4 linked regions of the Rhinolophus ferrumequinum genome follow. The protein of the gene in region 1 interacts with the protein of each later gene in a pairwise test. Links are inferred from orthologs where the notes say so. Each region holds a gene or a part of one and is shown in the gene's direction. Other genes may lie near its edges. The genes, in order: PLSCR1, SLC35A2, CCER1 and GLRX3.

Region 1 (6,976 bases):
ATGCTAAAGTAAGGTGTTGGAAGCATCTATACATTTGTCTGATGGTCCGAATGGCTCCCAAGGTCAGCTTTAATTTGCCTGAGCTCAATGAGGGAGAGGGGTCTGTTTATTAGTTGGGGGCCAATTTCTCCTGCTGTTTCTATCAGAGGCAAGAGCTTAGTTGTCCGAACAGCTTTAGGGGCAGGAGAAGCAGGGGCCAGCAGTTGTGTTGGGGACTCTGGGTACAAGGGTGGTGAAGAAGGTAGCCAGAGGGCCTTCTTTGGAGTCCCTGGGGCCGGAGTTGGGTCAGTGAGAATTTGGGGATCAGTAAGCACGGGCTTAGTAGGGCTAAGTTCCACTTTTTGCATAAATCTCTACCACCCCTCTAATAGAAAAATACTTGTATAGAAGGACTATCTGACCATTTTCCAAGACGTTTACAAAAGGGGATGAGTTGTAGAAATGTGTCATAGTTTAGGGTCCCATTAAGAAGCCAAACCTCCCTCTCCCCTAGTTGGTATTGGGGCCAAACTGTATTACAAAAAAAAAAAAGATTAGTTGGCTTTTAAATTTTGAGGATCAAATTGTGACCAATTAGAAAGGGTACATCTCAAGGGGGTACTGGCGGGAATGGACTCTTGATTCCCCATCTAGAAAAGGGAAAAATTGTCTGGGGCGAGGTAAGACTGCCCCTCGAGACAGTGGCAGACTATCCCACCTCTTTTCTGGATTTGTAGGGGTTGCGAAAGAGTCCTGGTAGTTCCCGTGTTCTTCTAGGAGTCGAAAAAGGCTCGGTCAGGAGGGGGAAATTATAGAGGGCTAATGGTCAAAGCCCAGGGTATGATTTTGATTATTCCATTCGGAAGGAAGTACTCAAGCCCTCATGCAAGTAGCTGTCCCTTTGTCCCTCCATCTCTCAGTCTGCTGGTATTAGCGTTACCCATTGTTGGGCAATAGTGTTCAAAAAGAACAAGATCTTAAGGGATTGGAGAGGCAAATTTCGGAGGTAGGAGAAAAAGTTCTGAAAATGTTGAGAATCTCCTCTGAAGGTGGGAAAGGCAAGAAAAGCTTGCCGACCCTTACTCACTGCCATCCAAACAACTGGAGACAAAGGATGCAATCCAAATCATGGCACCAAAATGTTACGGGAGTCTCAGTTCTTCTTGCTGACACAGTGAAGAATCAAAGTTCAGCAAGCTGATTAATATGCAAGCAGGGTTTATTAGTGATACATTCTCAGGGAAGAGGTTGGGGAGAGGGAGAAAGAGATTAGAGAAGCCTAGGTCCCGGATATTAGTGATATGTTCTCAGGGAAGAGAATGGGCCTAGCAGAGGTGAGAGAGAGAAAGGGGGAGGGGGGAGAGAGAAAGAGAGAGAGAGAAAGCGTGAGCAAGAGAGCTGACGTAAAAAAAAAAAAGGGTGAGAGAACTTGCGTCAGTAGGACTTATACAGGGAGTTATCTATTGATTTTAGGCCGGAGAGGTGGGTGGGGGAGGTGGTGCATGCTCTTTCATAGGAGGGCATGACTTCCTAAGATGGGTGGAGGTCTGTTGACTCAGATCCTTATCTTGCTCCACACCACCTCTTGTCATCTGTTGTTATAAGAACAGATATGTGGCTGGAGGCAGTTAATCAAAGCTACTTGTGAGCTTTTTCTGTAGGCACTAAGGACCACCTCCCACTCCTCCTCCTCCTACATTTTCTAGCTTCTACCTAACAGTAGGATGGGTAAAGAAGGTGAAGGGATTAAGAAGTACAAATTTCCAGTTATAAAAGTCATCATGGGGATATAAAGTACAGTATAGGGAATATAGTCAATAATATTATAATAACTATGTATATTGTCAGTTGAGAACTAGACTTACGGGATGGTCACTTTGTACATTATGTAAATGTCTAATCACTATATGGTATACCTGAAACTAATACAACATTGTATATCAAAAGTAATTCTTAAAAAGTTGTCCTGATGTTAAAAATAAATAAATAAACAAATGTCAAGGAAGAACTCATACTGGATGTCCTGAGGTACAGAAAACTTTCTAAAATAAGATGCAACGCCTAGAAGTCAAAAGTGAAAAACACAGTAAAAGATGATTAAAAATGAAAACTATGTATTGTTAAAGCAAGTTTAAATGTGACACAATCCGGAGACTCACTGAGCAAAAAAAAAAAAAAAAAAATTGTACTCTATTAAGCAGATGAGGAATTGAATTTACAATATATACAGAGCACAACAAATTCGCAAGGGGAAAAATGTCCTAATCCAACAGAAAACTATGTATTAAATATCAGATATTTCACAGAATAAAATGGTAAAATGTTTAGCAATAATATAAAAAATTACTCAACATTACTAACAACTCGAATTAACAAAAACAATAATAATAGCATAATACTTGCCAATCAGAATAACAAACATTTAGAAATGATTATCAGGAGGTGGCGATCCATGGTAAAACAAGCATTCTCATATTTTATTGGCAGAACAGAATAAGTTTCTAAAGTGTGTACAGAAAAATAAGTGCAAGGACGATGACTACAACATAATTTGTAATTATGAAATTAGAAGCAAAGTACACCTAAATGATTAGATCAACGATACAGTTCTGTATTAAAGGCAAGGGATTTCCAAGAAGTTTCATAAAGTGGAAACACAACAGAGAATAGTTTGCATAAAATAATCCTGTTAACGTGAAAAACAAAACTATGTACTGTTAGGCACGGCCAGAGGAATGAGTCATGGGAGACTAAAATTGGACTATTAGAATTTATTTGGCGTGTTTGAACTGTGGGAGGTCAGGCTAGAAAAGACCACAACCTTTTGGAGCAAAAAGGGGTATGGAGTTTTACCGGAGGGGGTCAATGAGGTTGTTCCCCCTTCAATGCTTCAGGGGGTTTTCCTTGCATTGTCTCTAGCAACCAAGGGTTTTGTTTGGGACGTGACCAAGCCCTGGGCTCCACACCCTGCCCCTCTAGCCTCCCTCGGTCCAGACCTCCTAGGCCCTCCCAGGCCTGCTGATCACGAGCCATTAGAACAGCATAAGATGGTTTCTACTTTCTAGGTGGCTTCTCCAAGCCTAAAGCAACATAAGCCGGCAGGTACAGGTACAAAGACAAGATGGCTTTTAAGATAAGAAGTTTCCTGTTCTGTCCTAAATGTGGCCTAACGTGTACATTTGTGTATATAGTATGTATTGAGCACTTACTGTGTGGCAGGCATCAGTCTAAACTTTTTGTATTTTAATTTCCTTAATCCTCATAAAAATCTTTGAGGTAGATATTATTACTACCTTCATTTTACAGATTAAAAAGGAGACACAGACTGTAATTTGCACCAAGTCACAGAGATGAGAAGGGATTCAAACCAAGTTGCTTGGTTTCCTCCCTCCTTTTTCAGTCATATTTTCTCAATTTCGCTATCCCTCCCAACTCCTTTCTTCTCTCCCGCAACCTTCCTTCTCTCTTAGTAAATTTTCAAATGTCTCTTAACAGTGTCATGGGGAGAAAAGTGGGGGATGCAGAAGGTATGTTTCACTTATTTTCTCCACATTCAGCTTTACTGTGTGGAAGATCATGTATCGCTTTTGTAAATGAAAATTTTAGAGAAAAAAAAAAGAATGAATCCTTCAGTTCAGTTCAACAAATACTTGTTTATTGGGCTTGGTTGCCACTCCTGGAGGGGCCTGAAAAACTAAACATTCTAAACGCATCAGGTCGGTTTGACTCTTAAACGAAGTTAACATCGTTTCGTGGAAAGAGAGAAACAGAGAAAGAGACAAAGAGCAAGAGAGCGAACGTGAAAAGACGTCATGAAGGAAAACAAGCTGGCCCCATCCGCGTTTGTCCTCAGCCCCGGTCACTGCTTCCAACCGGAATCGCCGGGGTGGAGGTCAAGCCGGGGTAAAGGAATTTCCCAGCACTTCAGTGCTTTCCGCCCCACCCCGAAGGCAAACCCTCCCGCGTTCAAGACTGTCCGCATTCTAGCCAGTGTTGACTTCCCCATGAAATGCAACACCAACAATTTTGGAGTCTCTGAGAGTAGGAAAGGGGGCAGGGGGACATCTCCGCGCCCGCCCCTCTGGGGAGCCGGCCTCGAGGCAGCTCTCCCGCCCTCCGGCAGCCACGCGGGACCCCGAACTCCCACGGGGACTGGCTAGACAGACCCTTTTGTGTACGTAAGATCCAGGAAACGAAACCTAGAGCCGGGTTTTCCGCCCCGCGTAGGTCCCTCGGAGGCCCCCTTCCTGGTGACTTCAGGGAAGGTTGTGTAACGCGCCGCGCTGAGCTGCCGAGGAGCCCAGGGGACACAGCGACCGCCAGGCGCCCGGGTTCCCGGCCCTCGTCTCGCCCAGCGCCGCCCCGGAGCAGCAGCAGCCACAGGTGGGTAGGTGCGCTCTCCGCCCTGCCGCGGGCACGGGGCGCGGGGCCTGTGCGGGTTCCGGGCCTCGCGGGGCCCGGGGGCGATTCGTGACCGAGGGGCACGAGGGCTGGCGGGTTGTGCTTGCGCTGAGGTTGGGGGGTAGAGGATGGGGGTTGGGGTCCCAGCGGTCTCGGGAAGCCACCTCGGAAGTGGAGCGGGGGCGCTCTGAGGGTCCCCGGGTGACCTACCTGGTAGAGACTCGACCAACTATGGTGTTTCCTTCCCTGAGAACATCTCTTCCCAGCGAGGAGGGCAGCCCTGAATCAGGGCAGGAACCTGGGCTCCGGGGTGTCTGCCGGCACAATGTGGGGTGTTAGAAGGGACGGTTAATAGAACCTGCCAGCGGCCACTTAACAGTAAATATGAATTAGGATACAGCTGGAACTATGCTAGGACCTGGAACACCAGAAGAATTGGGAAGCTAGAGGGGCTGTGTAGCATAGAGGAGAAGACCATTATCTCGCAGTCCACCTGCCTGACTCCAGTCCTGCCTCTACTGCTTATATCCGTGGACTCTGAGCCAGTTTCTTCTGCATATATGTTCCTTCCGTACCTCATCTCTGAAACTGTGTAACTAGTAAAAGAGTTCTGAGAGTTAGAGTATGACAGGTATTAGTGTAACTTCGTTAGACAGGGTCTGGCACTGCAGAAAGTACTCAGTGAAAGCTTTTGTTATTTTTAATATTTGACAAAGTCTCTGCTTCTCCCCGCTTTCTACCTGGTCCCCCTGTGGTTTTATTTATACATTTATTCCTGGAAGTGCTGGCATGCTCACTACCCAGTTCCAGGAAGAGGCAGAAAACTATTGTTTCTCCTGGATTAGTAGTATTAGGTACAGGGTTAGTACCGTACAGGTAGGTTTCACTTAGTGTGAAATGTCAGGTGATTTGGGGTCCCCTTTTTCTCCTTTGAACTTTTATACCAGCAGAAGTTTCTCCTAATACCACACTGGTGAGTATGACGATTGTAGCACTTTGAACACTGAAGAAACACAAGGGATGGTAGTGAAATGAGTGGATTTCTGCAGTTGGGTAGAAAAGTGGCATGTGAAATAACTAGGTCAAGATTAAGCAGCCTTCGCATCTGCAAGAGAGCTGTTTTGTCTGACTGAAAGGAATGAAATTAATAATTCTGTACACACATTGTTGAATCAAAAAGCACCAATTAAGCGCTTTGTCCTGGACAAGACAGGCCATGCACTGGCCTTTCAGAGCTTAGAGTGCAGCTGGGGAGACAGTTAAGGCGTAACAACCTGTGCACCTCTCCATCTTCCTGTCTCATGGTCTCTCCCTGTGGTCTCTCTCTCACACACAGACCTTTCATGCCCTTGAATGAAACAAGCTCTGTGCAGCCTCAGGACTTCTACATACTGAGTTTCCTGTCTATAATGCCTCACCCCACCCCACCCCCACACCTTCATGGCCTGGTTGATTTCAGACTTCTTCAGCTCTCAGATCTCGCTTTCTTTACAACCCCGTCAACCACCACCAGCATCTAAGCTAGTGGCCCCATAACTCTTTATTATAGCACCATTATATTTATTTATAGCATTTAGAGTATTTCTAATAATATAATCTGTCATTTTCTTCTAGTGATTGCTATAATGGCTTTCACTATGCCTTCAGTCAGTATTCTTTGAAAAAAGGCACAAGCTTTGTACCAACCGAATATTTATATACATACTTGTATATATGAACATGTGCATTATAATATGTGTGTATATATACACACACACTATTATACTTTCTTAAACAGTGCTAAGTTGAAAAAGCCAAAGTACTGTAGTTAATCAGTACTAGTAATTGTACTTTTCATTTTCCAAATTTTGAATTTAAAAAATACTTTCACCTTTCCTGGTAAAAAGAAAATAGCCTTGCGTAAGTTTGAAATTTGCAAGAAAGATACCATAAATACAGTCTTTTAATAAATTTTACTGAAATTTGACAATTTGAGAGAAATTTTTTTTTCAATGAATCAAAGACATGAATGCAAAGGACATGAATCATTTTAATTCAACTAGTTAGTGAGATGTATAACATTAAGTGACCATTCACTCTTTGAGTGTAGTTTCCTCGTTTATTAGGAGGCAAGGAAACAACTCAAATTTGTAGGGAGCTCTGAGTTGTCAGGAAAAGCTTTTCAGGAGAAATAACGCAATCAAACTAGGATAACTGACCTAAAGTTTAGTTTTTGTTTCTTTTGTCTTTTTGGTTTACTTGTTAGTGTGGTAGAACACTTAATTTAAGCACTACTCTCTCAGGTGGTCCCAGTTGATGTAATACCTACTTTTTTTCTTCACTGTTTACTATAAAATGCTCCCCCCAAATGGTTCTGAGCTTATTTGTTTTGTTTCCTTGAACTCTAAATACAAGATTGGGTTTTTACAGGAAGACTCCCTGGTATCAGGAACTTTGATTTGTAAATGGGTTTCAGTCACCCCACTTCCACCCTATACCTTGCACATAGGGTGGACTTGTGTACTCAAATGCTCAACAACATCTGGGCCACCTGGATGTATAAACTCATCTGTTTTTGCTCTGCTTATCTTTTACCAGAACCATAGTTCAACAGATG
Region 2 (7,501 bases), on another chromosome or scaffold:
ATTTAACGAACATTTATTGAGCACCTACTGTGCATACGGTACTGTTCTAAACTGTTGTGGCTACTCGTCTGTGGGTCGTGAAAGAATTCATGAGTCAGAAATACAGAAGGAAGACTAAATAAGAGTAGAGTCTGTTGGGCAGAGTCCTCTGGAAACTACTGCAAACTATTGTGTTGAGTCTTGTCTGAAGTTTTAAATTTTCTCACCAGGATGTAAATTGCTTTGCCCTGTAATGGAATTTTCTATTCAGTTCGGCTTTGTCCCTTGGGGTGGGGGAAACTGCAGTTAAGCTGTTTATCACAACCTTTGCATATGTTATGTAGATTTAAGTTGGAGCCTGGAGTGGATCCCATACAAATGCAAAACCTTGCCTAAGTCAAAGGGCCTGCTTGGGCCAAAGTAAACACAACCATTGAAACCTGCATAGCAAATGTATAGGAAGCAGAATCTTTAGCATTTGGTGGAAAGGAAGCGAAGAAAGAAAAGAAAGCTTTCAAAAGGTCCCAAGCTAAATTACACTTGTTAAATCAAATTATACCAGAGATCCAAATCTCAAAAAAGCAGGTCTAGGGCCAATGTTACAATCCCCCGTCTCATCATAAACTCTGGAGATGTCAGTGAACAAAACGGTTAACATATTATATAATAGTGGCTTTCATTAAGAACCACTTTTATTCTTCAAATATTTACTGAGCTCCTATTATGTGCCAGATGTGCATAGGCTTTTGGTTTGAATCACCTTCCCAATGGCTGTGTGAGTTTGAGCCCTTAAGATGAGGAAACTGAGACCCATGGAAGGAAGTGGTTTGCTCCAGGCCACGTGGTCAGGAGGCTGAGGGGCTACGATTAAGTTCAGGTGAGAAGTCAGCCTCCGAGCCGCTGACCTGATGTCTGTATTTCCTTTCCTCTCCTTGTTTCCCCCCACAGTCGGACTCAGTCACGTGCCCACTGGAAGTGGAACTGCTATGGAAGGTGGGGGCAGGTGGTGGACACCCTGGTGTGATCCGCCTGCTTGACTGGTTTAAGACACCAGAGGGCTACATGCTGGTCCTCGAGCGGCCTCTGCCTTCCCAGGATCTCTTTGACTACATCACAGAGCAGGGCCCGTTGGGTGAAGACCGAAGCCGCTGCCTCTTTGCCCAGGTAGTGGCAGCTGTTCGGCATTGCCATGCCCGTGGAGTTGTCCATCGTGACATCAAGGATGAGAACATCCTGATAGACCTCCGCCGGGACTGTATCAAACTCATTGATTTTGGTTCTGGTGCTCTGCTTCACGATAAACCCTACACTGACTTTGATGGTAAGGCTTCACTAAAACTCGGTGGGGAGATTTTTTACCTTTAATCTTTATGGTCCCTTGACCTTTAACCTTCAGTGCTGGGGTGTCCTGTAACCCTTGATCTATATTGTACCTTTATAAGGTTCTTGATTTTTAATACGGGGGACTCTCAAGCCTTGCCCTCTGTTAAAGCCCATCTTCTCACAGTGCCCTGACTTTCCTTGTTCTGGGCTCTTATGTTGGTGAGGGGATCCTGTTATTATCCTAAGTGTTCTTTTCCTGGTAAGGGTGAGACAGGATAGTTAGCAAGTCCCTCGGTAGACAGGGACTTCCTAGGGACATGCTAAATATCCTGTCTCAAGGGGATCTTACTGTTAACTTTTAAGTGTTTTTGTTCTGTGAGGGGATTCTGCCGTTATCTTAACTGCTCTTATTCCGGTGATGAGACCCTGCTATTATAGCTAAAGAACTCCTATTGTGGCGAGGGGACCCTGCTCGTATAGTAATTCTCTTAATTCTGGTGTGGGGACCATACTTCCTGGGGAGGGTGGAGTGGGAGAAGGGCATTATCAGAGAGTAGTCTAACCTCTGGCTTGCGTGCAGGGACAAGGGTTTACAGCCCCCCGGAGTGGATCTCTCGTCACCAGTACCATGCACTCCCAGCCACTGTCTGGTCACTGGGTATCCTTCTCTATGACATGGTGTGTGGGGACATTCCCTTCGAGAGGGACCAGGAGATTCTGCAGGCTGAGCTTCACTTTCCTGCCCATGTCTCCCCAGGTGAGGCCATCGCTGGCCCCAACCCAGTGGGCTCCATCCCTCCCAGGGACTGGTGTCCACAACTCACTGCTAATCTGTGTGTTTGTGACCTGCAGACTGTTGTGCCCTAATCCGCCGGTGCCTGGCCCCCAAACCCTCTGCCCGACCCTCACTGGAGGAGATCCAGCTGGACCCCTGGATGCAGACACCAGCCGAGGATGCACCCTCCAGCACCCCTCAAGGGGGTCCCACTTCTTTGGCCTGGTCCCTGCTGCCCTAGTTGGGATGGCCATCCCATGGCCATGCCAAAGGGACAGAAGGACATCTGTTGACCTGGTTTTACAGGCCATCAAAAATCCAGTGTTAACTAGGGTCAGTTTGGGGATCAGGGGTCAGAAGACATAAACCAAGTCTGCCCAGCCCCCATCCCAGTTCTGCTAAGGAGCCCTCCCAGAATTTACGGTTTCTTATCTGGAGGGGAGGACTTCTTGCTTCTCATTTTGCTAAGGATGTTTACTTGGTTGAAGTTACTTCCCTTCGGAGTCCCAGGACTCTTATTCTGAATTGTTACAACCCTTACATGGGCACCTCCTGCTACCACCACACAAACTTAGTTCAAATGCTCTAACTTGGGCAAGGGTGCTTTCCTTCAATACCCCAGCAGCTTTTATTTTAGTAAAGGGACCCTTTCCTCTAGCCTAGGGTCTCATATTCAGTCAAGCTGCTTGCCTACCTCAGCCCAAGGTTGCTTACTCTGGGGGAGGTAATGCCCTATTGTTACCCCAGGGCTTAAGAAGATTTTTTTATTTTATTTTATTTTATTTTTTGGTGAGGGGGACCCTACTGTGTTATTCTAAGTGCTCTTATTCTGGTGAGAACCCTACTTCCATAATTTGGGAAGAAATGGGAGATGGATACCACTAAAGTCCACTAGGGTGGAGGGGTGTGTGTTTTGGGGTAAATGGGGTAGGGGAAATAAGTCTTGTTGTTTGTTCACTTGGGGCCTCCCCCATCTTTTTTGGATTCTTGCTGCCTCCTTCTGAGCCAGGATTGTCCAGTTGCTGAAATGTAAATACTTAACGTATTGGGGAAAGGGAGCTCCAAATATGTCATCCTCTCCCTTCTCCCCCTGCCTGGATTATTTAAAAAGCCATGTGCGGAATCCCACTATTTAATAAACGTTATAGAATCACAAGTGACTGGCCATTTGTAGTTGTAGTGGGGCATTTGTGGAACATCTGCATGCTGAGACGAGGGGGATGGACTGGATCTCACTTCTACCCGCAGGAAGACTGTCTTGTGGTACTGTCCTAAAGATCTTTTATGGGTTCATTTAAGCAAGACCACAAAGAAAAACTTGACAACCCCCCACACACACATACACACACACACACCTGCTCTCGTGTAGTGCCCGGTATGTGCAGAAGGGCTGCATTGGAGATAGACATTGAAAATGTTTGGGACACATCCTCAGTTACAGATGGTTAGCTCAGGGCCAGAAAAAACTCCTTTCCCCCAACCCCAGGGAGAGACTAAATCTCTTCCCCATGGGAGAAGAAAAGCCCTTTCATGGCACTGGGGAGGGTGGGGCCAGGGTAGAGTGCAGACAGGAAATCCCCCCAGCCCCTTGATTTCTAATAACCTCTAGGGGGTAAGTCACCTGTTTTGCCCTTTTCGCCTCTCCCTTGTCTTACCTGCTCGTTCATCTCTCCTTCCTCAACTCTTGACTTACCTGCCCTGCCCTATACTATCTTGGTTTCACTTGTCCAAACCTCAGCTGTACTCTTGGCCTGTTTTCAAAAGCTAACCTCGGCCTCTCAGCTGCTAGCTTAGCTGTCTGTCTGCTTCTCACTTTTCCATCCTCAATGGTGACTCACTTGTCCTCCCTTCGCCTTTTGAACTCGCCAGTCACTTTTCACTTGTATATCCTAAACTGCCCTGATTTTATCGCTAGCTTGCCTGCCTGACCTTACACCTGCCACGCTCCCTCAGTCTCACTTCCCTCCCAGATGCCCGCAGGCTCTCCAGGGGGCGGGTCCTCACCGGGCTAGAGGAAAGAAACGTCAGTCCAACCTGGAAAGACGAGTTTTGACGCGGAAAGGGCGGTGCCATCAGAAGAGGGTGCAGAAACAGCGGGGCAACCGAGCCAATGAGACAAGGAGACAGCATGGGCGGGTGATTTGGAAAACTGGATCGATGAAGATGGGGGCGGGTCTAGTAACAGGAATGGGCTGAACAGGCTGTGCAGAGACGGCGGAAGGCTGAGCCAGCCGCGTGCCCGATCTCCTTATCCAGAAGAAATTTGGAAGTCCCGAGGCTGGCGGCAGAACGCGTTCTGGAAGGGACAGGGAAAGCCACCGCTCTGGTCAGCCCATCCCTCACCCTACCTCACCCCGGAAGCGGAAGTGATGGACACGGAAGTGACCTGCTGTTGCCGAGGGGACGGGCCCGGCAGATGCCAACATGGCAGCGGTTGGGTCTAGCGGTTCCACCGCGGCGGCCGGGCCAGGGGCGGTCTCCGCGGGGGCGGGGGCGTTGGAGCCTGGGACCGTGAGTGCGGGTGAGACAGGCTGTGGCCGAGCGGTCGGCGGCGGGGACTAGTCAGGATCGCTGAGGGGGTCAGGAAGGTTCCTCACTGAGGCGAGAGGGAGCATCCGTATGGACCGACCTATGTGGGGGTGGCGGGGTTGGGGGTGAGGGTGAGGGAAGAACGGAACAGACCGTTGAGAGAGTGTTGGTGGGGAAAAGACCAGAGGGTGATGGGAGGTCCCTTCCGCACATGGAGACTAGAGACCATTCTGAGTTTAGGGGGATATTTCCTTTTGGGGAGGCTAGGAGCATTAAGACCATTCGGGGGGGGGGTGTGTGTGTCTTTCCTTATAGAGGGGAGAGACCCTTCCGAGGGTGGTAGAGTTTCTCTTCACAGAAGGAAGAGGTCATTCTGAGTGTGGAAGAGTTCTTTATAGAAGGGAGAGGCTGCTCTAAGGGTGGTGGTTTCTTCCTTATGAACGGGCGGGCTATTGCGAGTTAGGGTAAGGCGGGTCCTTCCTTATATGACTTAGTCCGTTTTGAGGATAAGAATGTCCTTTATTATATGGGGAAAAGACCGTCCTGGCGGTCCCCTCCAAATGGAGCTATAGTTCATCGTGTGTGGGAGTGGGAGAAGGGACGTTCTGAGGGTGCCACCCTTCCTTACCGGGAGAGTCCACTGTGTGAGGAAAACAAGGAGTAGTAATTCCTTGGCTGGAGGTAGGATGCGATGGTTGGAGTACTGGACCATGTGTAGTAGAGGGAAATACCTCCTTATATCATGGAGGGCACTAGGCCACTCTTGGTGAAGCAACCACTGCTTATATGTGGTTCAATCCTTGGGAAAGTGTGGGAATCATTTGTTATGTTTGCTAGGTCATTGGGGTCAGAAGGAATCAGTCGTCATAGGAAGGAGAGGTTGGAGAGACCATTCTGAGTGTGAGGGAATGGACTAATTTAGGTGGGGGAAAGACCGTTTCTTAGGGGGTGGACATGCCCTATACAGTGCTCTCATTCCCTGTATTGGGGTATCATACTTCACATGGGACAGCCCCTCATTAAATAGAAGCAACATTTCATGTAAATCTTCGATTTGCTCTTCCATAAAATGGGAATCCTTATAGTTCCTTAGGAGATGAGAGAGATATTAGGGTCTATTGAGGTAATCCATATAAATCCCTGAGCCCAGCGATTGGCACACAGTAAGCACTCAATAAGAATGTAGTTGGTATTCTGTCCCCCGGGAGACAGGGCCTTCTCCAGCCATTTCCTGACACATCAGCAAGGATTCCAGGTATGGGCCCCGCCTCCTTCTCCCTTTCCGGCTCTTCTTCCTCTGACTGAGGCGGTGGAAGCAGGAGGAGTCAGACCCTGTTTGGAACAGGCTGGACAGACAGACAGAGGGAGGAAGCTGTGGTGGTTAGGCGGGTCCTGCTTGAGAAAAGACGGGAAGGTGGTGGTGTGGCTATACCCCGACGGCTTCTGACCCTCTCTTCCCCCTTGCTCCTTCCATTCCCCACAGCTCACCGGCGCCTCAAATACATATCCCTGGCCGTGCTGGTGGTCCAGAATGCATCCCTCATTCTTAGCATCCGCTACACCCGCACGCTGCCTGGGGACCGCTTCTTTGCCACCACTGCTGTGGTCATGGCCGAAGTGCTCAAAGGTCTCACCTGCCTGCTGCTGCTCTTCGCACAGAAGAGGGGTACGAGCCAGGGAAGGGTGCTGCACTGGAGTCGGTGGGTGGGACTCTGCGTGGTGTGTGTGTGTGTGTGTGTACGTACCCGAATCCACATGGAGGGTTTGCTGTTGGAGTATCTCTGTCTGTGAAACGGCCTGGGGAGTATGTAAGCACAGCTGAGCTGCGTTGTCCCTCCAGCTCTGAGTAGCTGCATCCACACTTTTACACCCCAACCACCCTGGGAGCTGGCCTGAGGGGACTGTACAAGGGAGACAGTCTGTGCCCATAAGTAGCAGGTGACCCTTACATGGTGATTTATGTATTTCTCTTTAAAAACTTTTCATTATGGAGAATTTCAAACACAAAATCGGAGAAAATAATAAAATAGTAAAATACCCATGTCCCTTATCACCCTGATTCAACAATTATCAACTCATGGCCACTCTGCCATTAAACTTCGTCAGTGGTTATCCACTCTGCCAATCTATGTCTGCCTATTACCCCCGCCTTATGATACTGAAGTACAGTAAGTCCTCCGTTAATGTTATCAGTCATCAATAAGTAATGAGACTTTAAATGAAACATTAAACAAAACCAGTTTTACCATAGGCTAATTCATACAAACAAGAGTTAAGTTTCTAGGCATCTCATCAACATTATAAAGCAACAACATTGAATGAAACAAATGGTACTCAGAGACCTGACCTGTGTCCCGTGTGAAGTATTATTTTGAAGTAAATCCACCCTTATTATCTTGAATACATACTTTGGTATATTAAAAAAAAATAACTGCAATAACTAAAAATTATACATCAAAAAATTAACAATAATTTTAAAAGTTAATAACATAACCAAATATCCAGTTAATGTCCAAATTTCGTAGTGATTTCTCAAATATCATAAACGTTTTTAAAAATTTGTCTGAATCGAGTTTACATCAAGGTCAGTGTTTGTAACTGGTTGATGTCTTCTGGGTCTGTCCACCTCTAGGTTTCCCTCCAACTCTTTTTTTCCTCTCTAGTTAATTTGTTCAAGAAAGCAGGTCATTTGTCTTACAGACTTGGGGTAACCTGGATTTTGCTGTCTGCCTCCCTGTAGTATTATTTAACATGTTCTTCTGTCGTCTGTATTCCCTGTAGGTTGGGTTTATCTACTAAGGTAAACACCTCCCTGAAGGTCTTCTTTAAAATGCTGCCTAGTCGTTTCTATATAAAGGCCTTGCATGTGGCTGTACCCTCAGCACTTACTTGCAT
Region 3 (7,279 bases), on another chromosome or scaffold:
AAAGAAACACATTCTGCCCATAACATGAAAGATCTTGGTAGCAGATTTTTCTGAAGTGAGCCCCTGGCTGAGAACCCAAACTGCCAGGCCTTGATCACAGCCTGGTGAGACCCAGAAGGGAGGACCCAGCTAAGCTGTTCCTGGATCCCTGACACTTGGAAAGTCTGAGATAACACATGTATGTTGTTTTAAGCAACTAAGTTGGTGGGAAACTTTTATGCAGGAATAGAAAACTAATACAATATGAGGTCTGACAATTAAGTTTGAGAACTCATCCTAGAAAAAGTGCTACATACTTCATTGCTGAATATCACTATGGTCACCTTCGAAGTACTGCCTTTGGGAAGTTATGCACCAATTCTAGCGCCTAGTCCACCCTTCAAAGCAATTTTGAAACTCGTTTTCTGGAATGGCCATCAGAGCTGTCGTCGTATTACCCTTGATGTCCTGAATGTCATCAAAATGTCTTCCTTTCAATATTTCCTTTATCTTTGGATAAAGAAAGAAGTCACTGGGGGCCAGATTGGGTGAGTAGGAAGGGTGTTCCAATGCAGTTATTTGTTTACTGGTTAAACACTCTCTCACAGACAGTGCCATGGGAACTGGTACATTGTCATGATGCAAGAGCCATGAATTGTTGATGAAAAGTTCAGGTTGTCTAACTTTTTTTACACAGTCTTTTCAACACTTCCAAATAGTAAACTTGGTTACCTGTTTCTCCAGTTGGTACAAATTCATAAGGAGTAATCCCTCTGATATCAAAAAAGGTTAGCAACATCATTGAAACAAATTTGTGAACTTAATTGTCAGGCCTCATATATAAACATATGGTAAATGTGTTATATTTCAATATTGAATAAGAACATTTCATGTTTCAGTATTTAAAGAATATGGATGAATTAAAGTATGTCTTTAAAAATATTCCTTAATTGAATTACTGATGAATGTGTTTAACATGTTCTGGTGCTAATTTTCTTGGATGATTTACCGAACAATTTGTATTATAATGCCAATGTGTTGAAAAAACTAAAAATCATAAATTGTAACTTGCTGCTTCTCCTACTAAGAGGAAGAGTGGGGCAAGACAATATAGCATTCATATTTCTAATAGGGAGGATGAATATGAAAGATATAGCTCTCACCATGGAAAAAGTATATAAAGCTAGTATTATCGGTATAAAGTTCACAGCAACTGATCAAAAAAAATGATATCCTTAATTATCTATTAGTTTATTTTTTTTATTTTAAAACAAGGAAAAAAATGGATGGGAATTCCATGATAGCAACATGGTCAATTTCTAAAGCTCTCAATGAAAACTCTATATTGTATACCACATTTATCCTAAAAATAAATCTGGATTATAACCATTGCATTCTGAGATAAGCAGAACAGGGAGAGGTCAACTTCCAAATGTGTGAGTCTATATCCAAAAAGGTACACTGGAGGCTAAAATTGTCAGTATTAGACATTTGAGTCAAGCAAGCTTGTCTTCAGCAAACCACAGAGCACATAAAATTGAATGAAGCCTGTAGCATTTACAGGTCCCACAGCAATGGTTGGAGTCCTGCTCCAGGAACCCCCACGCTGTTCTCAGTCTTCAACAGGAATGCATAAGTGACCTTTGCAAGCTTCAGGGATTCCCCACATTTTCATTCTATGTCATTTAATGGAGGCACGTATAGACTCAGTTTCCCAGTGGGCACTGTTTCATTTTGCACAATTCCATCCACCATGGTAAGGTAATAAGGGGATATACTCTGGGACAGTTTTCTCCAGGATCAAGCCTGGTAGCACTGCTTGATGCTTCTAAAACGTGGGAGAAGAAAAGGACACAAGAGCAGGGATGCCTATTTTTGCATCAGGCACAGGGGTAGTTATCTTTACATATAATGTATTTACTTCTTTAAAATTCCTAAAGTTTCTACAACGTGGATGGACCTAGAGGGACATAAAGGGTATTATGCTAAGTAAAATAAGTCAGACTGAGAAAGACAGATACCATATGATCTCACTTTTATGTGGAATCTAAAGAACAAAATAGTTGAACAAACAGAAAAATAGAGCCATAGATACAGAGTACAAATTGATGGTTACTAGATAGGATTAGGTTTAGGGGGATGGGTGAGAAAGGTGAAGGGATTAAGAAGTACAAATTGGTAGTTACAAAAGAGTCGTGGGGATGTATAGAACAGTAGGGGGAATATAGTCAATAATACTGTAAAAACTACGTATATGTCAAATGGGTACTAAACTTGTCAGGGGATCACTTCGTAAATCATGTCTAACCACTGTGATGTACACCCAAAACTAATATAAAATAATATTGAATGTCAAGTATAATTTAAAAAAAATAGTCATAAGGATATACAGCAACATAGGGAATATAGTAATATTCCAATAACTATGTACAGTATCAGACGGGTAAGAGATTTATTGGGGTTATTACTTCATGAGGTATATACTATCTAATCACTATGTTGTTTTGTATATTGAAACTAATTTTTAAAAAGTCCCGAAGCGTTTGAATATGATGATGATATTTAACGGTTACTAAGTGCTTACTGGGCATCTACACTGAGTGTTTTAATGCAGTACCTTATTTAATCTTTAACACAACCCTATGCAATGAGGTACTGGAACACGCCACGGGTAAGAAACTGGAGGTTCATAATTGGTGAACTGAACTTGAAGCATGTCTATTTTTTAATAGCCTTTATTTTGTAGAGTAGTTTTAGGTTCACAGCACAATTGAGCAGAAGGTACAGACATTTCCTGGATCTTCCCTTCCCTCACTGATGCATGGCCCCCCCCCATTATAAACATCCCCCACCAGAGTGGTACATTTGTTACAGTTGATGACCGACATTGACACGTCATTATCACCCAAAACCCATACTTCACATTAGTGTTCACTCTTGGTGTTGTGCATTCTACGGCTAAATGTGTAATGACATGTACCCACCATGCAGTATCATCAGAGTAGGTAGGCGCATGTCTACCCAAATCAAAGCGATATTCGGACCCATAATACTGTAAAGGCTCCCAATGTATGTGCTGTCTGGCAGATACAGGGACAAAAGGAAAGACATATTGACATATTTGTATTCTCAACAACCCATGGTATATACAGTCTGGTAATGTTTGCTTAATCAACGGAGATTTTCACGGTCTATCACAATTAGCAAAGTGATTTCTCAGACCTATTCCATTTGCTCATTACAAGAGTCCTATTTAAGGTGCGTGTGGAGTACAGGGCAGCGATGTCCTTAAGTATTTAAGCCAGGCTTAAATACTAGCCCTGAAGTTCATTAGCCCCACGACCTTGGGCAAATTAACCTCACAATTCCCTGATCTGTGAGAGTGGCAACAATGCCTACCTCACAGGGTAGGCATGATGATTATGTGCCACGGGTCCGTCTGCACACAATAAGCAACACAATAAATGTTTGCGGTCTTGTTTCGGGTAGCTCGAACTGCAGCTCCCAGGAGTTAGAAAAGTAGGCACTGGCCATAAAATAAGGACTGTGGCCCAGTTTTCCGACTGGAAGAGCTTTCTCTTTATTCTTACGCCGCCCCAGCCCCGCTCCCAAAGGTGTAGGATATCTTTTTCAATTGTCGCACCTCCCCTCTCCTCCAACCCCAACCCACGACTTTAGCTGAAGGGCCATCTTCTGTACCCCTAAGCCTGGAGGTGGTACAAAGGGTTCAAATAAACAGCCTTAAGCCAACACACTGGGGCAACACAAACACAGCCTAGCCTCGCTTTGCCCCTGTTAAAATCTGCGTCACAAGCCCCCCGCGAATGTTCACAGGGCACGTCGTTCCAGCCGGAACCCCCACCTCCACGCACAGCGAAAGCCATCGACGCCAATTGGCTGTCACCCAGGGCAACCAAGGACGCAGTGGGCACGCGGGGGCTCCGGCCGGTATTTAAAGGCTGCCTGCCTGCCTGCGCCCCACAGCCCCCCCAGGACGGCGACCGTGAAGCACTTGGGTTGAGACCGAGCAGCAAGATAACGCGCAACCCCGGCCTTCCCCGTGCCCAGCCCTAGCCTCTGCCGAGGCGGGTGCCTGTGGGGCCCGGGTGCGGCTCTCGCTGCGTGTAGCCCATCCATATCTTCCTCCCCCAGCATCTTTATCCAGCCCCAGTCCCAGCCAGCCAGCTTGGGCGACACAACCCGGGTGCGAAGGGCAAGAGATTACGACAGAACAGCGGGTTAGTAGCGAGTGGAGGAGAGGGGTCCCCCTGGTGAGGAAAGGCGGGATCTCAGCGACAGGCACGTGGCACTGCAAGGGGAGACACAGGGTGACGAGGCCCTTTAGACCGTGGGATCTGGCCAATTTGAGGACAGCTTCTGGGACGCTTCCATTTAGAGCTCTCGAAGCTCCGTGAACTATGACCCAGACCCTCAACAAAAGGGAAGACCCTCTTAACCTGGGCGGCGGCTGGTCATCCTCTGCCCCGTTTCGCACCTGGTCTTCCAGCCACCGAAGGCGCAGGGGCGCTCCGACTTACAGGCGGCGGCCCCGCTATGGCCCCAACGCCGCGTTTGAGCCCCGGAGGAAACAGCCGAAGCAACAGCACGGCCAGGGCCCATGGTTCCAACCACCCCGAAGTCCCTACAGGGCCGTGCACTCTAACCGGCGGCGCTGGGGAGGGCCCTGGCGCCCTCCTCGGGCGGGATGCTGGAAGCACCCCGGCCGGATGCAAGTGATCCGAGTGTGTGGCATGCACCCGCTGTGCCTTTGCTGCTGCTCCTGCTGGCAAGAGCCCTGGAACCCCGGCTGGACGAGACCCCCTGGCAGGAAGAAGCGCTGGGGCCGCAGGGGCCGCGGCCTGCGCCGCCACCCTCGCCGTTCCTTCCCCAGAAACCCGCCCGTGGATGTGAGCACGCTGCTGCGGCCGGTCAACCTGTACGGGTGGCGGGCGCCCGGCATGCGTGCGCCGCGCAACACCACCCAGTTCATCATGAACCAGGTCTACGAGGACATGCGGCAGCAAGAGAAGCAGGAGCGCCAGCAGGAGGCGCTGCGGGCACAGCGGGCCCAGGCAGGTGGCCCCGCCTCCCCGGCGGGCTCCGCCTCCGGAAATGACGCGCAGCCCGCTGGTGGGGAGGAAGACGCCGAGCTTCCGGAATGTTTGTTTAGCTGTGTGCGGAACACCTCTCTCAGCTTCAGTCCTGTCCCCCAGGCGGAAAACCAGTCTCCCGCCCAACAGCTGGTGGAGAAGGAGGAGAGAAATGATGAGTGTGAGCAAGAGGAGTGTGATGGGAAGGAGGAGGAGAGCGAGGAGGAACACGAAGAGGCAGAGGCCCAGGATGAAGAGGAAGTGGAGGAGTCTGGCTCTGGGGAGGAGGAAGAGGAAGAGGAAGAGGAAGGAGAGGAGGAAATAGAGGAAGAGGAGGGGCTGGAGGAGGATGAGCAGAGAGGGGAAGAGAATGATTTGCCTCTGCAAATACCTTTGTCATTCCTAGTGGAGGCTGAAGAAGAGGGAGAGAACTTTATGAACTGTTCTTTTTTTAGCCCCAATCAGATAATTCCTGAAGTGCCACAGGAAGCTCTCCTTATGGACATTAACTTTTAGACATCAGGAAAAGATAAGGAATGGGATGGAACTGATTTGAGGCTAAACTGGATTAACAGCTTATTTAAAAAAAAAAACGAATTAAAAAGTGAGTTCCATTAATTAACATCCATGTAAACCCCTTCTTTGGCCGTTATAAACTGTTTAAAAATTGGTGTGTTTGTGTATGACTATGGGACAGGGGAGCTTTCAAATCTAATTTAATTGGAAATTATTAAAGGCCAAACTATTTTATTACTACAGTTTCAATAGTTTCATTTGGTATTTCCCCTCTACACACCTGAGTTTTTAAAATTCTGGCAATGCTGAAAACTTTTTATAACAAATTTATACAATTTATCTACTTTATGAGCTTGGAATCAATAGTTATTTGGACTGTTACATGCATAAGAAGCGAGTGCCATGTCTGCTGAATGAATGTCTATCAGTGCTTTTAGCATGATAACCCAAATAGCTGTTTTAAATTTCTTTTCCTTGTAGACTTTCCACCTTCACAGTTCATTTTTGAGGCCTGTATTTTGGTAACGCCATCTGCAGTCTCTTGTGGCATCGCTCATTTATATTCCTTGTTCCACAGTGCTATCGATCTTCCTCAGAAGAACATGAAGTTGCTTCTGTGGAACTGTTTATCTGCCATGGCCTCAACAATCCATAAATCCATGCATGGAGAGGATTCCCCATGGTCAGAAGTCAACTTGCACATCTAGTTAAAATCCAAGGTAACTGCAAGCGATGGAATATGGCTTAGATTTTGAAGCCTCATTCCAAGATATATTCTTTGTCATAAGTTCACAGGAACCATAAAAATAGTTTGTGCAGAATGGATTTTTAAGATTGTTGTCCTTTTGGGGGTGGAATACCTTATTTCTTTCACAGATTTTCTGTTTTATAAAGGAGAATAAAATGAAGATGTGTTACATACAAGCCTACATGAGTTTATTTCTAATGTCCGAACAATTATGTGTGGAAAATAAATCATTCAAAATGATAGCTGTTATTCAGACATTTTCAGGAAGTAATAATACATTTCTTCCTGGGCACTTAATTCTCATAATTTAATAAAAGTTTCTATCCATAGCATATTTCCAGAAGAGGTGGAATCCCTAGATGAAGAATTTGAGCCTGCCTTCTCAAAAATTACATCTTTTGACAAACTGTACTTCTAAGTATAATCTGAACGACAATTTAGTATTTATTTGGTGAAGAGACTGTATGGTGATATCTTACCTGGAAGTTGATTTTTACTCATATATTCCATTGAATTGCAGCTTTTGGGGTGATAATATTAAGTTGTTAAAAGAATAAATAAATAATAAAAACTTTAAAAATATTTAAAATAGTAAATGAAAGTACCCTGCTTCTCACATATCAGATACCTGTTCAGCAATACTTCAGTAGCCAACATAATGAACAGAAGAAGAAAAACTAAAACAGACCTTGTGGGAATTTTTAAATGATACCAAACACTCCAAACTATAGCAGTGAACAACCATTTAATTATGCTGTAAGAAATCGTTTCTTGCAAGATGCAATTTCTGAGTTACCTATAAAACTAATTTTAAATTGGCCACACATTTGCAGTTCTAATGTTATATGCAGAGGAAAAACCAAAAATCCTGCTCCTGGTCAATCCTGACACTGGTCAATAAATTCTTACAAGTCATAGCCCCAATATCTAATATTCTTAAACAATC
Region 4 (7,706 bases), on another chromosome or scaffold:
TCATAAACATGAGTCTTATTTAGTTTACTGGGTATGTAATTCTTCTTTCCTTTGAAAATCATGATTTTTCAAGCAAGTATAGCAAAACTACAACCCATAAACATCTAGCTATGACAGTATAAACCACCTTTACAGCCCGCATGTACGGAGAGTTCTCCCAGTAAAAGCACTTCCTGGTAAGGAACACAACACAGAAGCTTGGCTGACTTGTGCCGGCCCAAGTTCCGGCTCCTACAGCTGACAGAGGAGCCCTCACAGCCTTCCCATTTCCCTAGCCTGTGTCCTCCTCTCTATCAGGGTGACAGCTGGGGCATCCCAACTGTCAGGCTGGCCCTTGGACTAAGAAGGAGGGCTAGTGGCTTGGTAGGACCTAGAATCCGGTTTATGTCCATCCACATGGTTTGTGAGGCACCTTTCACAAAGCCCATTCTTGGGGCCACCAAAGCTAATGGACAGTGGGGTGATATTCCCTGGTGGGCTCTGGAGGGCAAGATGCAGACTGTCCACCTCTCGGTTCCCCCATTCTGCGTCCAGGTCGATGGTCTCTCAGCGAATGCTGTGCCAAGGTTTTTGGCAGGGCTGGGCGTGGGGGTGCAAGTAGGCTTAAGAGAACCTAGTCCAGGGATTCTGCTCTGGGCTTTGGTCCTCCCGTCAGGGCTCCGGGGAAGGCATCTGGGCCCTTCCCACCCAGGCGCCCAGCAGTCACTGAACCCCTGGACATGACCGTGGGCCCCCGGCCAGCTGTGTGGACACAGCCCGGGAGTCTGGCACTGTGCTGACTCCACCCGGTGAGCTGTTAGCAAGTTCTCAGCAGACGTGCGGGTGCTCACTGATGCTTTTTATAGCAGCTCCAGAAGATATCGCAGCTTGAGAACAGAAATGAAAATATGTATCCTTCAGGTGCCAATCTACTGTACTTACAGTTTTACTATTTCTCTGCAGGGGGCCCATTAATCCTGCAACAGTGAAATTCCTAAGGAAATTAGTTCCCTCCGGTTGGGGTTACCCTCAACTGGTCTTTGGGGGCAGAGTGATTGGAATTTAAGAGTCTCTTAAAAGAAAGGAAACGTTGGCCACTTTACCTGAGTAACACACTTTCCAGTACAAATGCTTCGTCGTCCATTAAAGCTGGCTCACTCCTTCCCTGTGTGTCTCAGCTCCTGGGGTGGGGTTTACAAAGACCCCGCCAGCTGGGGGTTCAGTTCCAAGTGCTCCTCCACTGGCTGTCACTCCTTTCCTCTCTGGGTTATATGTGCCCACCTGGAACTCAGCACTGTGCCCTGCCTGCCGTGGAGGACACCACCTGGCTGGGCAAAGGAATGAGCCAGGCGTCATCAGAAGGGCACGGCTGCAGTATTTCCCTGCCTTTGCAGGAGCAGTAAGTGTTAGCTGTCATTACCCGGGGAAAACACACACACACACACACACACATTCCTTTAGAATGGGGCAGTTTGGACATAGGCTGGCATTCCTTTGCGACCTGCAGCTTTGTCTGCAGTTTCGCTCTGTCAGGCCAGGCTTCAGCCCCGAGGACCTAGAGCCCCAGTTTCCTGGTCCCCATGCTCCCGGCCCCTGAAGTGCCATACAGCACCCTGGGGAAACCTAATTGTCCTATCCTTCTCAGGGCTGTGCTGCTGTCCTAGGAAAACTGTTCCTGGTGCCAGACCAAGAGCGGCCTGGGGACCCAGGAGAGGCCCCTGCCCAGAGGGTACTTAAGATGAAGTGTCACTGGGTTCCAAAGGGGTTCCCCACCTCCTTCACTGCTCCAAATTGGAAATAAGATGTGGCTAAACGATGCTTACATATGGAGTCAGCAGAATGTCGGTGCCTGGGATGAACCCACACTGGGGACACAGGCCCAAATCAGCCCCTGGATCTTGGATTCCAGTGGTTTTGAGCTTTCAAGCACTAATAGGGGCACCAGGAAAAGCCAAGTCCAGAGTGTAACAGAAGGAACAGGCCAACCCCATTTAATATGACAATGACAAGTTTTCTCCTCTGGGCCTGAACAAGAGAAAGAGGACTGGGCCCTCCAACACTGGAGCCGCATGTGGGACAGGGTGGCGGTGGCAGTGAGAAGAGCTTGAAGCCCAACGGGAGGGCCCTGGGGTGAGGCCTGACAGTCACTCGCTGGCCCTTCCCGGCTGTGGGCCTGGCCGGTTTCCTTAGCTGTAAAGGGGGGTAGGCACTGAGGTGTTTACAGCTGAAGGTAGCACAGAATGCTAAATGCAGGCACGTGTGTGCAGCTGCTTTGGAAGGCTGAAAACCACCACATACCTGTGTATACACCTATGGACTTGGAACTCAGGAGCCACAGCTCCCGACATGCGGCGTGGGCTCAAAGCCGAATGGAGTAGTCTTGGTTGCCTACGTGAGAGCATTTTCAAGCTCAGGCGTCATCTGCTGATGTCAGGCCTGTTGATACCAACAGTGATAACTGCAGAAAGGGCAGGGGGCAGGACTGGGAATGTCTGGGAATGTTCCTAACTTTTGTTTTGAAGTAGGGAGTGTGCTCTGTAGCTGGTGTATGCTGCTTTCGGCAAATTCCATTTAAAGGAAAAATCAGGATTTTTAAAACAGCCACATTAGAAGGCTGCTTACTGTTTTGCTTTGTTTTTTAAAAAAGATCCATATACCACATTTCCCTGGTGCATTACAATTTCATTATTTTTTAAATTACAAGGCCAGTTCCACTCTTTGAAAAAAATGCCCATGACACTCAGAAGCCTATAATAATGTAAAGCATGAAGGTCCTCCCTTTAAAACTCCCCTATTTTCACTCTCTGCAGGCAAGCTCTCCTACCACTTTGGGGACATCCTTCTGAAGGTCTCTTCCTATGCTACATTCAGCCGTGTATAGTTATATATTTGTTTACATGTAATTCTGTTAAAGATGGTTATTGGAGCCTAATCCTGTTTTGCAACATGCTGTTTTCCCCCCATTGAATTTTTCCTCCATAGTAATCTCTAGGTTTCCTTTACTAAAAAGAAAAAAAGAAAAAAAAAAGAGCAACTAACCTTTTTATTTTAAAATAATGTGGAGTCATATGCAGGTATCAGAAATGATACAAAGAGACCTGTGTACATTTTCTCAAAAGATAACATCGTGCAAAACTGTAGTAGTGCCACACCCAGGATACTGGTATCCATATAACCAACCCATTCTTTTCAATTTCCCAGTTTCACTTGTACTTGTTTGTATATATTTTGTTCTATGCAATGTTATCGCATGTTTGAGTATCTACCACCACAGTCAGGAACAAACAGTTCCTCATTGCTCTCCTGTTGCATTTCAAACACTGTAATTTACAATTGTCAGTAACACCTATTCTCAGGGTGAGGCACACGTGTAATGGGCTCCTAACCGGTCACTGTCAATGACCAGAACAGCGCTGCCAAGGGAAAACCTAGGGTGAGCCGCAAATGAAAGTCACTACATAACTAAATTTCTAGCAACCCCATTAAAAATATAAAAAGATGTAAATTAAATTTAATAACATATCTCACAAAACCCAATATATCCCAAATGTTATCATTTCAACATGCAATCAATTAAAAATTACTAATGAGATAGATTACCTTTTTTTGGTACTACTAAATCTTTGAAACTCCGTGAGCCCACTTTTCCAGTAGCTGCGCGTGGCGAGCGCGCACTGAGCACGACTCTGCCCGGCTCCAATGCAGACACTGGGGTACGCACATTCCTGCCTGTCTCCATAACTGAGCTGGTGGAGGAGACAAGCACAGTTCCAATCCAGTGAGATGTGCACGTGGGAGAAGCGGCACGGTGCCCTGAACACGAGGGAAGGCTCCATCGGGCCTGCCCTCAAAGCCTGTCCAGAACCCCAGGGCTGTCCAGGAGGAGCCCCTCCTGTCTGGGTGGGAGCACGAATTTTCAGTGACATGGGAGCTACAACAGGAGCGGCGCTTTGGAGAAAAGGCCAGGTGTGGTGTGGGGTCCTCCAAGAGGAGACAGCCCTCCCCAAAGCAGATGGTGACTGGGCTCTGGGGGCGGAGGGACTTGCCGTGGAGATGGAGGGCATGGACGTGACTCAGGCCGGAGAGTGTGTGCGGGGCATGACAAGTGTGGGAGGACACCACCTGGAGAGTCAACATTAGGGGGATCCACAGGGAACCAGGGAGGGGCTGGAGGTTAGAGAGTATGCGGACCTGGAGGCCCGAGTGAGGGAGGGGCAGGGGTCCTGGAGCTGGGCCGTGGTGCCAGGCGATGCTGCTCCGAGGTGGGGGGCATCGCGGGGGCACAGGTGGCGGGACACGCGGTGGCTCGGGTTCGGGTCCTTCAGGTCCGAATTCAAAGGTCTTTGTCAGTGTTGAGGTTCCGAGATGGCGCAACCTCTCTTTCCCTGACCTCCCATCCATCCTCACCTTGGTGTAATTTCATTTTAGGTTCGATTTTTGTTAAGTGCAAACCTGACTTCTCTTACACTCACATCACACGCACACCCTTCTCCCAGCTGCTGTGGGAGATGCAGGGAAGGTACGGAGCAGAAAGACCCGCAGGCAGACTCCTGGCCGTTGGGAGCCGGGAAGCTCAGGAGCAGTGCGCAAGCTCAAGCGGCCGGAAGCATGTCCCCAGGTGTCCTCGTCTTGGCTGGTGCTGGCGCAGGCGCAGGCGCAGGCGCAGGCCCGGGGCGGGGCGGACCCGGGGGCGGGGCTTTCGCGCACAGCGTCAGAGGCCCCGCCCCCCGGGCCGCCGGCGCTCGATTGCTCTTGTCTGGCGGCGGCAGCATGGCGGCGGGAGCGGCCGAGACGGCGGCGGTGGCCGTGGAGGTCGGCTCAGCCCAGCAGTTTGAGGAGCTTCTGCGCCTCAAAGCCAGGTGAGCGGGGCGGCGGGCGGCAGGGGTGAGGGGCACGGCGGAGGCCGGCCTCGCGGGACGGCGCGGCCCGGCCTGGGCGGAGCGGCCGGCGCGGCTCCCGGGCCCTGGCTCCTCACCGCGGCGGAGGAGCGGGGTCCGGCCGCACACCCCCGGCGCGGCCCCTTCCCGCGGTGTGAGCGGCGAGCGGCAGAGGAAGGCCGGGCGGGGCCGGGGAGGCTGCCCGGCTGCAGGGGGCGTCTGGAGCGCGGTGTGCGCCGCTGGCAGCGCTCACACTTAAAGCCTCCCGGCGGCCGCAGCCTGAATTTCCTGTTTGCTGAGCTGGCCTGCTGGGGTCCTCCAGCCCTGGGAAGACGCCCCGACGACGGCGCAGGGGTGCGCAGTCCGCCTTTGGGGACCAACGGGCCCCGTCGTGCTCACCGCACCTCACTCTGCCGGGTCCTCCCTCCCGGGACGCCTGTTCTCAGCGTGTCCCTGGTGGTGCGGTGGGAGCTCCCGCGCCCACTGCCCGGGAGCCAGTGCCCTGCTCAGCCTCTTGGTGGCCGTGTAACCCCGGGCAGGTGTCATAACCGGGCCTCAGTGTCCGCAGCGGTGAAATGGGTCAGAACAGCGCCCACCCCAAGGTTGGGAGCACCGAGTCGGATGCTGCGCGTACCGCACCGCACCGCACCGCCTCGCGTGCACGAGCAGTCAGCCTTAGCTCTCGGCATTTTCTGGATGGAGCGGAGGGCATGGAGCTGGCACGCAGCAAATGCTTACGGACCTAAATGCGGTAGAATTTTGCTGAGGAATGTGAATTAGAGACAGGTGCTACTCTGGGCGAGTAGCTCAGGTAGCGTGTGCAGGTCAGACGGGGGACGTACTGCCTTCGTGGAAAATGGGAAGGGTGCGAGTAGCCTTTCATGGTCCTTGGCCTTTCATGCTTTACGAAGGGGATGGAGTTAAAAGTGTTAACCACAACAGCTCTTTTGGCGTTTCAGGGTTACCTGGAAAATTGTTTGTTTAAAAAGGAGAGGGGATGACGTTTACTCATTGATGAAAAGTGGGTTCTGATTCAGCCAACACTCCACACATCTTAAAATAGCGCAATTATGAAGTCACCAGAGGTGGCCTCCTAAAATGAGCAGGGCTTGTGTGGACCTGCCCTCAGTAAATGAACTTGCTACCATCTGGAAGACCATTTTGCTTTTTGTGTATTTCATTTTTTGAAATATTAAGGTCCTTAAGATATCACTATCAGGAAAAGTTTAAATGGAAGTACATTTGGGTGTATTCTTGTCACTGGTCTGTACTTGAAGTGACTCCAAAAGCAGTGCACCTTTTCCATAGTGAGAGTTTCATTGGGCACATGGGAAATGACGCCTGCTATGTGGGCAAGGAACAAATCTCTGCAGCTTTTTGTGAAAATCGAAGCATTTAAGAATTATTAAATAGCATTCGTTAATGTAATAATTTAAAGTCTACTTCCCAAATCTTCACTTCTCAGTTTTAAAATTTCATATGAACTGAAAATTTTTCTTTGCTTAACTCAATCACATGTTTTACATGTTAATGAAACCTCAGGTGGTCTGTACAGTGGGGATATTAATATCCATTTGCAGAGTAATTAAGGTTTTGCCTATTTGTAAAATGTTTAATAGAGTCTAGCATGTGCTAGTGTTTAAGAAGTGGTAGCTTGTGTTATCTGCAGATGAATAACTGCAGGAGCAGAACACCTGTAATAATAGAAACAGCCATTAATGAGCACTAATGATTTTACTGATGAAGAACCCAGGTTCATTGCATTGTCTAAAATCCCATCAATCAGGATTTCTCTAAAGGTTTTCCTTAAACAGTGCACCCTGCATTTTGGGCTATCCGTGAAGATGGAGACAGTGCTGTTCCCTGTAAGCCGAGAGAGGATGATAAATAGCACTTATGTTTGTTTCAGGTTTATGTCCTTACGATATAAGGCACCATGTACTGAACTGGAAAGTGGAAGCTACACATCTAGATATGAGAATATTGCAGATGATTTACAAGAACAGTGAACATTAATGTCATTCTTCAGTGTTTTCAAAGTGCTTTATAGTTTTGTTTGATCTTCCCAACATCCCAGGATTTTGGTTATTGCTGTTTCACAGAGGTGGAATTAAAAGCCACATTAGTAGTAATGAAATTTAAGTTGTATGTGTGTGCTTTTTTATTTTCTTTTTTGCATGTCATTTCATATTGTTAAAAAGTTTGGTAATCTATTTTAATTTTTAAAATACATGTAATCATATTGTGAGGATTTTCCCATGTCATTAAAAAAATCTTCAACATACGATTTTTTTCATGGCTTTATAATATTTTATATGACTTAAAAAAACTTGTTGAACAATACATTTTTGCAGTTATTTGCTATGGAAAATAATAGGAAAGCATTCAGTCACATAAACCTTTGTCTCTAATACTTTCTTTGGATACTTGAAAGTGGGAAGTTTCTGACAGGTTCCAATTTAATTTTAACCAGCAGGATATGAAAGTGCTTGTCTCACTCTGTCTTTCTTGTCATTGAATATTATTTTAAAAATATTTTTTCGATCCAGTAAAAAGTGGTATCCTAACTTTTAAAAGATTGAGGTATTAACTTACATACTATAATAAAATGTACAGATCTTAATTGTTAGATGTGATGAATTTTGACAATTGTATGCACACAAATGACCATCATTCAAAACAAGGATAGAGAGCCCCAGAAAGTTCTTTAGCCCCTTTCCAGGACTCCCCAGCACCGATCTGCTTTCTGTCACTGTAAACTCGGTTTGCCTGTTCTTGGACTTAATGTAAATGGAGTCACACAGCTCCTGGTCTTCTTTGTCGTTTTACTCAGTGTATTTTCGAGACTCA

What was found.
Region 2: the proteins of PLSCR1 (region 1) and SLC35A2 interact in a two-hybrid assay, tested with the Homo sapiens proteins (2 studies listed by BioGRID and IntAct). The two-hybrid records come from large-scale screens. The link is inferred for Rhinolophus ferrumequinum from reciprocal best matches to the Homo sapiens genes PLSCR1 and SLC35A2.
Region 3: the proteins of PLSCR1 (region 1) and CCER1 interact in a two-hybrid assay, tested with the Homo sapiens proteins (2 studies listed by BioGRID and IntAct). The two-hybrid records come from large-scale screens. The link is inferred for Rhinolophus ferrumequinum from reciprocal best matches to the Homo sapiens genes PLSCR1 and CCER1.
Region 4: the proteins of PLSCR1 (region 1) and GLRX3 interact in binary tests that used the Homo sapiens proteins (3 or more experiments, as listed by UniProt). The two-hybrid records come from large-scale screens. The link is inferred for Rhinolophus ferrumequinum from reciprocal best matches to the Homo sapiens genes PLSCR1 and GLRX3.

The regions. Positions count from the first base shown.
Region 1 is NC_046285.1:5,726,296-5,733,271, reverse strand, and holds the start of PLSCR1 (phospholipid scramblase 1), read left to right. Parts: upstream 1-3,965; 5' UTR 3,966-4,362; intron 4,363-6,976. UniProt on the Homo sapiens protein: Catalyzes calcium-induced ATP-independent rapid bidirectional and non-specific movement of phospholipids (lipid scrambling or lipid flip-flop) between the inner and outer leaflet of the plasma membrane resulting in collapse of the phospholipid asymmetry which leads to phosphatidylserine externalization on the cell surface.
Region 2 is NC_046284.1:85,746,297-85,753,797, forward strand, and holds the start of SLC35A2 (UDP-galactose translocator), read left to right. Parts: upstream 1-4,481; 5' UTR 4,482-4,501; coding exon 4,502-4,598; intron 4,599-6,089; coding exon 6,090-6,272; intron 6,273-7,501. Other genes in the region: PIM2 (serine/threonine-protein kinase pim-2), read left to right, coding at 928-1,300, 1,883-2,059, 2,155-2,318. UniProt on the Homo sapiens protein: Transports uridine diphosphate galactose (UDP-galactose) from the cytosol into the Golgi apparatus, functioning as an antiporter that exchanges UDP-galactose for UMP.
Region 3 is NC_046293.1:82,529,329-82,536,607, reverse strand, and holds CCER1 (coiled-coil domain-containing glutamate-rich protein 1), read left to right. Parts: upstream 1-4,397; coding exon 4,398-5,250; intron 5,251-5,524; coding exon of another isoform or gene 5,525-5,538; exon of another isoform or gene 5,539-5,660; intron 5,661-6,162; coding exon 6,163-6,191; 3' UTR 6,192-6,304; intron 6,305-6,663; 3' UTR 6,664-6,763; downstream 6,764-7,279. UniProt on the Homo sapiens protein: Regulator of histone epigenetic modifications and chromatin compaction into the sperm head, required for histone-to-protamine (HTP) transition.
Region 4 is NC_046299.1:2,007,394-2,015,099, reverse strand, and holds the start of GLRX3 (glutaredoxin-3), read left to right. Parts: upstream 1-4,687; 5' UTR 4,688-4,749; coding exon 4,750-4,838; intron 4,839-7,706. UniProt on the Homo sapiens protein: Together with BOLA2, acts as a cytosolic iron-sulfur (Fe-S) cluster assembly factor that facilitates [2Fe-2S] cluster insertion into a subset of cytosolic proteins.